Macaca fascicularis: one gene and its partners. The protein of the gene in region 3 purifies or fractionates together with the protein of the main gene of each other region. This does not show direct contact. Links are inferred from orthologs where the notes say so. Each region holds a gene or a part of one and is shown on either strand. Other genes may lie near its edges.

Region 1 (3,651 bases), on a different chromosome or scaffold from region 3:
GAAATTGTAATACTAGTTATCAACAAATACCATAGCGCTCTGACATTGAGATAAAAGGCAAGTCATGTTATATGAATGATATCAGCAACCCCTACTGGCAGAAACTCAGAATAGTACTGGTAGACATTATGTTTAGTTCAAACCATTTTATCGTTTTATCCATGTTTAGGTCTAATCATTTAAAGTCTGCATCCCACCCCCACCCCCATCCCTCTTAAAAAAAAAGTATGGTCAATACTTAATTAAAGGTACCAATTTATTTTCTATGTGACTAAGACTGTGTAGTCATGTTCAGCTTAACTTGATAATGTTAACCCTGTATGTGATAAAGGAAGGTATTTGCTAGTTAAGAATTCACCCATCCGCCATATTGTAATACTGCCTAACTGGAATTGCTTACTTGTTTTTCACGATGCAGATAATCATACTGATATGATGGAAGTGGATGGGGATGTTGAAATCCCTCCTAATAAAGCAGTTGTGTTGCGGGGCCATGAATCTGAAGTTTTCATCTGTGCCTGGAACCCTGTTAGTGATCTCCTAGCATCAGGGTGTGTTTCTCAAAGTGATACTAAAATGGCTTTTACAAATATCTTACTGAGCATTTTATAAACATATGCATTATTCAGGTTTTCTGTTGTTGCTTATTTGTGGCCATTTTGTCTCTGTAAATGTTTTATTCCTTCATGAAGTAATTGTAGAATTTTTAATTAAACTTACTGTTTCGAGAACGCTTGGGGGTCCCAATGTGTAGAATGGGAAAAATACTGGAAATGAAAATCTGTGATAGTTTAGTTTTTATTTGCCTTATTAATATTCAGATGTAAATATGTTGCCTTGATTCTGATAGTTGAGAATGTCATGAGGATTTAAAATACATTGCATACTTTTATAGGTCTGGAGACTCAACAGCAAGAATATGGAATCTTAGTGAGAACAGCACCAGTGGCTCTACACAGTTAGTACTTAGACATTGTATACGAGAAGGAGGGCAAGATGTTCCAAGCAACAAGGATGTCACATCTCTAGATTGGAATGTGAGTATCACTATATCCATGATGGATATAATTACTAGTATACCTAACCCTCAGAGCCTCAGACTCATGGCACGGTTTGTCTATTTGTTCAGAATTTGGGGTTTTATTAACTAGTAACAACAAACTGGGAGTCGTCACCTGCCAGCCCTCTCCTCCACTGTGGTGTTAAAGACACAAACTTGCCTTAGACCAGGGTACAATGTCCAGCTCTTTAGTGTATCCCGCAGCATCTCCTTGGTTAAATTGTTACTGTTTACTCTGTACTTCGTTTTCCTTAAATGTCAAGTAGATCTGTGAAAATGGTACCTAAATATTTGAGATAATAGGTGAAAATTCTTACCATAATAACAAACAACATACTAAATCCGTAACAACCGAGTTCTTAGTTGGGGGATAAAAGAATTCTATGTAGCAGAAAACATGTTCTTGTTTTTCTCTTTGTTCTGTGAACTGTTACAACTTTATTACCAATTTCCTTTTAGGGATCATTAGTCTAGATAATGTCTAAATTTTATTCCCACTGTAGGAATCTTCTAATTCTCTGATTCTATGTATGATTCAACATCTTTCAGGACAACTTGACTACTCTGACTTACAAAAAACTTTCACTTCATTGTTGATAAATTGTCATCGTTTAGTTGTAAATAATATCTCTTACCTCACCCTGCTAGCCCCCGCCACGCCCCCAAACCTCTTAGATATATTTCAGCATTGCAAAGAATATCTCACGATAGTAGTTCTTCCTCAGCAAATGAATGTTCTTTTCTCTTCTATTTAACAACTTTTGTGGGCTTTCTAAAGGATCTTCTAATTCTTTTCCCAAGGAATGAGATCTATCTTTAAAATCGTTATTCCCGCTAAAGTTCTCAGTTTCTGTGACATGTTTTTTCAGAAATCATAACTGGGTATTTTTAGCATTTTCTTCCAAAATTGCCAGCAGCATGTTTACTCTTCCCCTCCGTATGACAATTCTAAAAATTCCAAAGGGGTTTTGCACATTGTAGTATTATTTACTTGTAGGATCAAGATAGAATTATTTTCTTAATATAGGCCCTTATTGTATCTTAGTTCAGACATCTTATAGCTTTCTTATGCTACCTGGCCCACTGGTCATGTTAATTTAATGAAATTTACAGTTTACACTGAAAAGGATGGTTAATGAATGAATATTGGTTTGTTCAGCTTGGTAGTTCTGAACTGCATTTTATAGTTTTGAAAAGTGTGGGCTTTTTGAAAATGTGTTAATCACGGTAAGCTTGGAAAACATCATCCTCGATTAATGATTCTTTTTCATGGCTAAAGCAAGAGAGCCTGTGAGATTTCTCATCTTTAAAGTATTCTTTTCCTAGTTGAGCAGTTCATGAACTAAAACATTTAGGGACTGATAGTTTAGAGGAAACTTAACATTGTGTAGAATCTGGAAATAAGCTTTTACTGTTGACTTCAACATGGCTCCCCTTCTTCTTCAGATAGAGCCCTAAGGGATTGCCATGTCTTAGCAGAACTGAGTCTGCAGTTCCCAGAACCAGCATTTGTTTTTGTTTGTCACTTAGCCATACTCCTAAAATGGCTTGAGAGATGTGAAATAGGTGATCTTGTTTTGAATGCCCTTACCAAAACCCATCAAGAATATGTCAAGTAATGCAGGATTTCATTCTCCAGTAATGTTTAGTCATTCTAGCAATAGTCTGTTTACTATAATCTGTAACTTTTGCGTTTGCATAGAGTTAGTTAGATCTGTCCTGTTATTACACCATTCATCCAGGCAAGGCGCATAGCAAGGGAATATAAGTTGAGAGAAATTTATATGGACTTTTCCTCCGGTAAAGTAGGCAGTTATACTTACTTCATTAACTATGAAGTCAGCCTGTGCTCTTTTCTGGCTCTTTTGCTTGTGTTGCTCTTTTTATTGGCAAATATTTCATAGTGGGAAGGGATTAATAATAGAAAGGAACATTCAAATGTTTAAGAATCCGATCATTTGAAACAATGATATTGTTTGGATCATACACACACACTTTGTTTTAGACAGTAAAGGATTTAGAGGAATGGCCATATAAAACCTTCTAATCACATTTTAAAGTTTTCCTTTTTTTACTTCTAATAAATCATTCTAACATTATGAATTTGATGTTCGCCCCAATCCACCACCCTACCTTCATTCTTAGTTGTGTGAGTCTGTGAGACTACTTTGGGCACGCATGAGGCGGGATGATGTAGATCCTGGTCCAGAGCTATTACTGTCCGTTGTTGAGCTTTGGATATAAGGCCCCCGTACAACACTAGCTTCACAACAGTGAAAGGGTTTCATAGGCCTTTAGTGGCACTCACAAGTAGGCAAAACTGGCAAGTTTTGAAGCAGAGAATGTCTTCATTCTCTTCTGTACCTGGGATTTAAACATGAAATACTTCAACAACAATTAAATTATAAACCGTATCTAGATTATATAATTAAAGAAATGTTTTTCTCTGGCAGAGTGAAGGTACACTTCTAGCAACTGGTTCCTATGATGGGTTTGCCAGAATATGGACTAAAGATGGTAAATGAAGCATTTTCCTTTTTATTTTGTTGTTGATCTGAAGTTAGAAAATTTAAAGTAATGTTACTGTTTTT
Region 2 (3,651 bases), on a different chromosome or scaffold from region 3:
CTAGATCCCAAATATACTCAAGTGAATATGATGTGATTCTTTCCTTTAAAGAGCTTAGTCTAGAAGGGGAGACAGGTAAACAGATAAGTTATGGTGCCAAGTGAACTAGGGTGTCTTAATTCCTGGGCATCCGGGGAACAAAAGACAGTGACAGACCTTTGGTAAGCCCTAGCATTATGTGGACTCAGAGCAGTCTGCTTTCAGCCATTCTGAGCTTTGCTTCATCCTGATCTTGCTTGCAGACACAGACCAAACCCTGAAGAAGGAGGGGCTGATCTCTCAGGATGGCAGTAGTTTAGAGGCTCTGTTGCGCACTGACCCCCTGGAGAAGCGAGGCGCCCCGGATCCCCGAGTTGATGATGACAGCCTGGGCGAGTTTCCTGTGACCAACAGTCGAGCGCGAAAGGTACAAGATTATCCCTGTGGCTAAGGGAGCTTTGATGGAAATCAGCCTCCTCTTCACTGGGGCCATGCAGTTTCTAGAACTGAAACAGAAGCTGGGGTCCAGGAAGCAGGCCCCTGCAGTTCTGTTCTTACTTCAATCCCTGGTTATTGTCAGGTACTGACTGGCTTCTCTTTTGCTTCTAAGTATAGACTCTCACTCATTCATCCACTTTTATCACAGAACGTTATTATTATACACATATATAATTTTCATTTAAAAAATTAAAAGAGGCCAGGTGCAGTGGCTCATGCCTATAATCCCAGCACCTTGGGAGGCCAAGGCAGGAGGATTGCTTGAGCCCAAGAGCTCGAGACCAGCCTGGGCAACAAAGTGAGACCCCATATCTACAAAAAGTAATAATAAAAAAAATTACCCGGGCATAGCGGCATGTGCCTGTTGTCCCAGCTACTAGGGAAGCTGAGGTGGGAGAATTGCTTGAGCCTGGGAGTTGGAGGCTTCAGTAAGCCGGGATCATGCCACTGCACTCCAGCCTGGGCAACAAAAAAAAATTAAAACCAGAAGGTACAAGAATAGTACAAAGAAATACCGTATACTCTTTACCTAGATTTATCAGTTTCACATTTTGCCACATTTGCCTTATCTGTCTTTGCTAAACCGTTTGAGAGGAAGATGCATATATCAAAAACTTTTCAGTCTAGGCAACATAGCAGGACCTTGTCTCTACTAAAAATAAAAATAAAAAATTAGCTGGGCATGGTGGCACACACCTGCAGTCCCAGCTACTCAGGAGGCTGAGGTGGGAGGATTGCTTGAGCCCAGGAGATTGAGGCTGTAGCTCTGCTCATGCCACTGCACTCCAGCCTGAGTAACAGAGGGAGACCCTGTCTGGGGAGGGAGGGAAACAAACTTTTATCCCTAAATACTTTACTCTTTTATCACAAAAGTTTGTGTCACAAAGTTTTTTGGTCCCTGAGGTTGCACAGTGAAACACACTTGGTCTCTGCCAACAGAGAAGATAAGACTATATATAAAAATAAGAGCTATAAATATGCCAGCATTGGGCTAAGTGCTTTCTCATGCCCTTTCTCCTTTAGTCTGTACAACCTTATGGGGGAGGTCCTGTGTTCCCCATTTCACAGACAAGCTGAAACAAAGCAGTTTAAAAACTTCCCATGGGCTGGGCACGGTGGCTTACGCCTGTAATCCCTTTGGGAGGCCAAGGCAGGCAGATCATGAGGTCAGGAGATCAAGACCATCCTGGCTAACATGGTGAAACCCCGTCTCTACTAAAGATACAAAAAAATTAGCCAGGTGTGGTGGTGGGCACCTGCAGTCCCAGCTACTCAGGCATGAACCCGGGAGGTAGTGCTTGCAGTGAGCTGAGATCGCACCACTGCACTCCAGCCTGGGCGACAGAATGAGACTCCGTCTCAAAAAAAAACTTCCCATGGCCAGCCACGGTGGCTCACGCCTGTAATCCCAGCACTTTGAGAGGCCGAAGTAGGTGGATCATCTGAGGTTGGGAATTCAAAACCAGCCTGACCAACATGGAGAAACCCCGTTTCTACTAAAAATATAGTATTAACCGGGCATGCTGGCGCATGCCTGTAATCCCAGCTACTTGGGAGGCTGAGGCAGGAGGATCACTTGAACGCAGGAGACGGAGGGTGCAGTAAGCCAGTATTGCGCCATTGTACTCCAGCCTGGGCAACAAGAGTGAAACTCCGTCTCAAAAAAAAAAAAAACTTCCCACAAAGTCACACACATAAGCAACAACATTTTCATTTAAACTAGGAGGCGAGTGTCAGGACAGAACCACCAGTAATGTGCTCCCAGGGTGGCCAATCAGAGGCAGGAGAGGGCATGGCTGCTTGTGGCATCGGGGCAACCTTTTGGAAGCATGCTATTTGATTTGGCCATGTGGCATGGTAGGGAAAGCATTTCAGGCTAAGGAAATAATGTGAAGCACAGGGGAAAGAAATCCCAAAGTATGGAAGGGAGCAGGAGCAGGATTGTAGGGTGCTTGAAGGGCGTTGGTGAGAAATGAGGCTCATTCCCCTGTGGGTGGGACCAGGTCACAGAGGAGGTTCTGGGTGGCCTTGGCCAATCTCATCATAGGGGAGCTTTTGGATGCACATATTTCTACCCATGCTAACCCTGCTGTCCACTCAGCGGATCCTAGAACCAGATGACTTCCTGGATGACCTCGATGATGAAGACTATGAAGAAGATACTCCCAAGCGTCGGGGAAAGGGGAAATCCAAGGTGAGGGGCCAGCGTGCTACCTGCATCTTGGGACAGGGTGGCCTAGGGAATTCCTTGTTTTATTTCAAGTGAGATTAGCAGCCACTTCCCAAAGAGTCTAACTCCTCAGGCCCAGCTACCGCAATAAGGGTGTCTCTTTGCTCTTCTTGGCAGGGTAAGGGTGTGGGCAGTGCCCGTAAGAAGCTGGATGCTTCCATCCTGGAGGACCGGGATAAACCGTATGCCTGTGACAGTGAGTGCCTCACAAGTGGGTGGGTAGACCTTGCCTTGGACCCAGCTCCTGCTCAGGCTATGAGAGGAGGGAGGGTTATGTTTTTGCCCAGAGTATTAAAACAAACCTGGGTTCTTGTCCTGCCTGCTGACTGCTTCCGTCTGAGACCCCTGGGAGGCCTGGGGCCCTGCTATATGACGGGTGGGACCTGCATGCTCTGGGAAAGATTTCTGCCATCTTCTGGGGTGGGGTTGCTTGTGGGGGCCACAGCAGGCAGGGTTGGCCTCTCAAGAGACAGCCTGCAGGTCTCCTGGCCTCAGTTAAGCCAGGGCCCCAGGGGTCTGACACTGAGTTTTTCAACGTCTGTTCTCTTTTTCTTTCTCTCTGCCTTGCCCCGCTTCTGTCCCTCCACCCTGGGAGCACCATCGCCGCTGGGGTTTCTCTCTCGTTTGCTCCGCTTTCCTGCTGATGCTGCTCCTGTCTCAAGTGTATCAAGGCCTTCTTCTCATGACTTTTCTTTCTGTCTTTCAGATAGTTTCAAACAAAAGCATACCTCGAAAGCGCCCCAGAGAGGTAGCTCTCTCAACTTTTCAGACTTGTGGTTTTCCTGTCCCTTTTTCCCTCTTCCCTTGTTCCTCCTGCCTTTCTCATTTCCTGGGATGCTAGCTTTAAAATCTCTGGAATGGCATGGGGGTAGGAGCAGTGGAACTTCTGCTGTGCTCTACTCCTCAAAGTCCTGGAGGCTGCCTTTACCACTGCTTGTCTCCCA
Region 3 (3,651 bases):
TTAGTCATCCCTTCTCTAAGCTTTAAAAAAATATGTCACCATTGGGCCTGTTTTCAACCCTGTCGGTATTTGACTCTGTGTTACCCTTTGCCACAGTATCTCCATGTTTTTATTGAGACAGAGTCTTGCTCTATCAGATCTCGCTCACTGCAGCCTCCACCTCCCAGGTTCAAGTGATTCTCCTGCCTTTGCCTCCCGAGTAGCTGGGATTACAGGCGCACAACACCATGCCCGGCTAACTCTTTGTATTTTTAGTAGAGACGGGGTTTCGCCATGTTGACCAGGCTGGTCTTGAACTCCTGACCTCAGGTGATCCACCTGCCTTGGCATCCCAAATTGCTGGAATTACAGGTGTGAGCCACCACACCCAACCTCCATGTTCTTTTATTTATTTATTTATTTATTTATTTATTTATTGAGATGGTGTCTCACTCTGTTGTCCAGGCTGGAGTGCAGTGGCACAATCTCGGCTCACTGCAGCCTCCACCTTCTGGGTTCAAGCGATTCTCCCACCTCAGCCTCCCGAGTAGTTGGGATTACAGGCACTTGCCACCATGCCTGGTTAATTTTTGTATTTTTAGTAGAGACGGGGTTTCACCCTGTTGCCCCAGGCTGGTCTCGAACTCCTAGACTCAAGGGATCTGCTCATCTCAGCATCCCAAAGTGCTGGGATTACAGGCTTGAGACACACCACGCCTGGCCAAAATAATTTAATTTTTTAAAAAGGCTGGCCGCAGTGGCTCACACGTGTAAGTAATCCCAGGACTTTGGGAGGCTGAGGCAGGTGGATCACCTGAGGTTGGAAGTTTGAGACCAGCCTGGCCAACATGGTGAAACCCTGTCTCTACTAAAAACACAGAAATTAGCTGGCGTGGTGGCGCATGTCTGTAATCCCAGCTACTAGGGAGGCTAAAGCACGAGAATTGCTTGAACCCATGAGGTGGAGGTTACAGTGAGCTGAGATCATGCCACTGCACTCCAGCCTGGGCAACTGTCTCAAAACAGTGAGACTGTCTCAAAAAAAAAAAGACACGGTGGCTCACACCTATGATCCCAGCACAAAAAAAGTCAAGCCCTTTTACCATGAGTTGTTACCACGGCAAGTTTGTTCTTATACCTGCCAGCATCCACCCTACCTTTCTTCTGTATTGTCTTCAGTTGGTCCTCCCACTGATGTGTTGTCTCATTCCTCCTTCCCTAGCACTTGGCTGCTGTTGAGGAAAGGAAGATCAAATCTTTGGTGGCCCTGCTGGTGGAGACCCAGATGAAAAAGTTGGAGATCAAACTTCGGCACTTTGAGGAGCTGGAGACTATCATGGACCGGGAGCGAGAAGCAGTGAGTAGCAGGAGCCCTGGAACCCTGCTGTGCTGTGCCTCAGTTTAAAATCAGAGGGGCGTGTGTGTGTGCATGTGTGTGCGCGTGCGCGTGTTTCAGTGAAAGAGAGATAAGCAACAGTTGGGAAAGCCTGAGACTGACAGGGCTTCAAAGCAGAGCAGGGCAGGAACAGGGCAGGAGTAGGGCAGCCAGTTAAGGACAGTTAAGTGGTCTCACAAGTGAAGTCTGGGGACTGAGGTCCCACAGAAGGTCAGCTCCATGAGGCAGGGACTCTAGTTGGTTGTTTTGATTGCTGTATCACCAGGTCCTTGAGCAGTGCTTGACCCATAGTAGACTCAAATAGTGATTGAGTAAATGGGCTTAAGGAATGATGAGATAGAGGGTTAGGGTCTCAGATCCAGGAGGTACACTTGGAAAGGGAATGGAACAGACACAGTGTTGAACCATTTTGTCTTTGGAGGACATAAGAAGAAACAGACAATAGGGACCAGGCATAGTGGCCCACATCTGTAATCCCAGTACTTTGGTAGGCTGAGGCAGAGGATCACTTGAGCCCCCCCAGGAGTTCAAGACCAGCCTCGGTAACATAGTGATATCCCTGTCTTGACAATTTATTTTATTTATTTATTTATTTATTTGAGACAAGAGTTTCGCTCTTGTTGCTCAGGCTGGAGTGTAATGGTGTGATCTTGGCTCACCACAACCTCTACCTCCTGGGTTCAAGCGATTCTCCTGCCTCAGCCTCCCCAGTAGCTGGGATTACAGGCATGCGCCACCACGCCCAGCTAATTTTGTATTTTTAATAGAGATGGGGTTTCTCCATGTTAGTCAGGCTGGTCTCGAACTCCCAATCTCAGGTGGTCGGCCCACCTCTGCTTCCCAAAGTGCTGGATTACAGGTGTGAGTCACCATGCCTTTTTTTTTTTTTGAGATGGAGTCTCACTCTTTCGCCCAGGCTGGAGTACAGTGGTGCAATCACAGCTTACTGCAACCTCCGCCTCCTGGGTTCAAGCAATTCTCCTGCCTCAGCCTCCTGAGTAGCTGGGATTACAGGTGTATGCCACCATGCCCAGCTAATTTTTGTATTTTTAGTAGAGACAGGGTTTCGCCATGTTGGCCAGGCTGGTCTCAAACTCAACCTCAGGTGATCCGCCTGCCTCAGCCTCCCAAAGCGCTGGGATTACAGGCAAGAGCCACTGTGCCCAGACCAAAAAATTTTTAAAAATAAACAAATTAGCCGGGCATGGTGATGCTAGCCTGTGGTCCCAGCTACTCAGCAAGCAGAGGTGGGAAGATCGTTTGAGCCCAGGAGGTCAAGGCTGCACTGAGCCATGTTTGCACCATTGCACTCCAGCCTGGTTGACAGAGTGAGACCCTATCTCAAAAAAAAAAAAGAATAAAAAGAAATAAAAGATAGGGACCTCAGAGAACTTAAGGTTTAATGGGAGACATCAAATGAATATACAATATGGAGACATCAGAAACAGTTAAGAAGGTTTAAAGTATCTGACAGGTTCACGTTAAGAGATTGCACATCGGCCGGGCATGGTGGCTCATGCCTGTAATTCCAGCACTTTGGGAGGCTGAGGCAGGTGGATCACAAGGTCAGGAGATCGAGACCATCCTGGCTAACACAGTGAAACCCTGTCTCTACTAAAGAATAAAAAATACAAAAAATTAGTTTGGCATGCTGGTGCGCACCTGTAATCGCAGCTACTCGGGAGGCCGAGGCAGGAGAATTGCTTGAACCAGGTAGGCGGAGGTTGCAGTGAGATCACACCACTGTACTCCAGCCTGGGCGACAGAGTGAGACTCAGTCTCAAAAAAAAAAAAAAGAGAGATTGCACATCAAGTTTCTAAGTCCTGAGATCATAAAATAAAGCTAAAGTTCAGAGGCAAATGAATTGATCTGGAATAGCTTCCTAAGAACAGTGAGTTTTTAGTGAATTTTGAAGTAAGAAAAGAACTTGAGTTGACAAAAGGAACTGGAAGCATTTTCCAAAACAAGGTAATGGCAAGTTCAGAGCTTTGTAGCTGAAGTGAACTGGGACCAGGTTAAAGTCATTGCAGTAAGAAACCATATGGGCACCCAGGAGACATAAAGGTCATGGGAATTTGCACGAAGTGGGGTGGGGAGGACAGAGGAGGCACAAGCGCAAGATGTAGATTTTGGGAACCTTCTGATTGAGAGGCAGGATCTTTCAGAAGAAGACAAAGCAGGGGTCAAGGCATTTGCCTTTGGGATCTGCTGAAAACTGGATAACAATACACAATTGGCACTGGCAGCTGGAGTATCAGAGGCAGCAGCTCCTGGC

Evidence for each region. Proteins that work in one complex are often made in the same cells at the same time.
Region 1: the proteins of SMARCC2 (region 3) and TBL1XR1 fractionate together in Homo sapiens (co-fractionation; 3 studies listed by BioGRID, with this or other methods). This does not show direct contact. The link is inferred for Macaca fascicularis from reciprocal best matches to the Homo sapiens genes SMARCC2 and TBL1XR1.
Region 2: the proteins of SMARCC2 (region 3) and DPF2 purify together in Homo sapiens (affinity purification with mass spectrometry; 8 studies listed by BioGRID and IntAct, counting the BioPlex papers as one, with this or other methods). This does not show direct contact. The link is inferred for Macaca fascicularis from reciprocal best matches to the Homo sapiens genes SMARCC2 and DPF2.

The regions. Positions count from the first base shown.
Region 1 is NC_088376.1:88,764,753-88,768,403, reverse strand, and holds part of TBL1XR1 (F-box-like/WD repeat-containing protein TBL1XR1), read left to right. Parts: intron 1-418; coding exon 419-551; intron 552-895; coding exon 896-1,037; intron 1,038-3,513; coding exon 3,514-3,577; intron 3,578-3,651. UniProt on the Homo sapiens protein: F-box-like protein involved in the recruitment of the ubiquitin/19S proteasome complex to nuclear receptor-regulated transcription units. Plays an essential role in transcription activation mediated by nuclear receptors.
Region 2 is NC_088388.1:9,032,547-9,036,197, reverse strand, and holds part of DPF2 (zinc finger protein ubi-d4), read left to right. Parts: intron 1-242; coding exon 243-406; intron 407-2,578; coding exon 2,579-2,671; intron 2,672-2,824; coding exon 2,825-2,903; intron 2,904-3,413; coding exon 3,414-3,455; intron 3,456-3,651. UniProt on the Homo sapiens protein: Plays an active role in transcriptional regulation by binding modified histones H3 and H4. Is a negative regulator of myeloid differentiation of hematopoietic progenitor cells. Might also have a role in the development and maturation of lymphoid cells.
Region 3 is NC_088385.1:62,954,082-62,957,732, reverse strand, and holds part of SMARCC2 (SWI/SNF complex subunit SMARCC2), read left to right. Parts: intron 1-1,201; coding exon 1,202-1,336; intron 1,337-3,622; coding exon 3,623-3,651. UniProt on the Homo sapiens protein: Involved in transcriptional activation and repression of select genes by chromatin remodeling (alteration of DNA-nucleosome topology).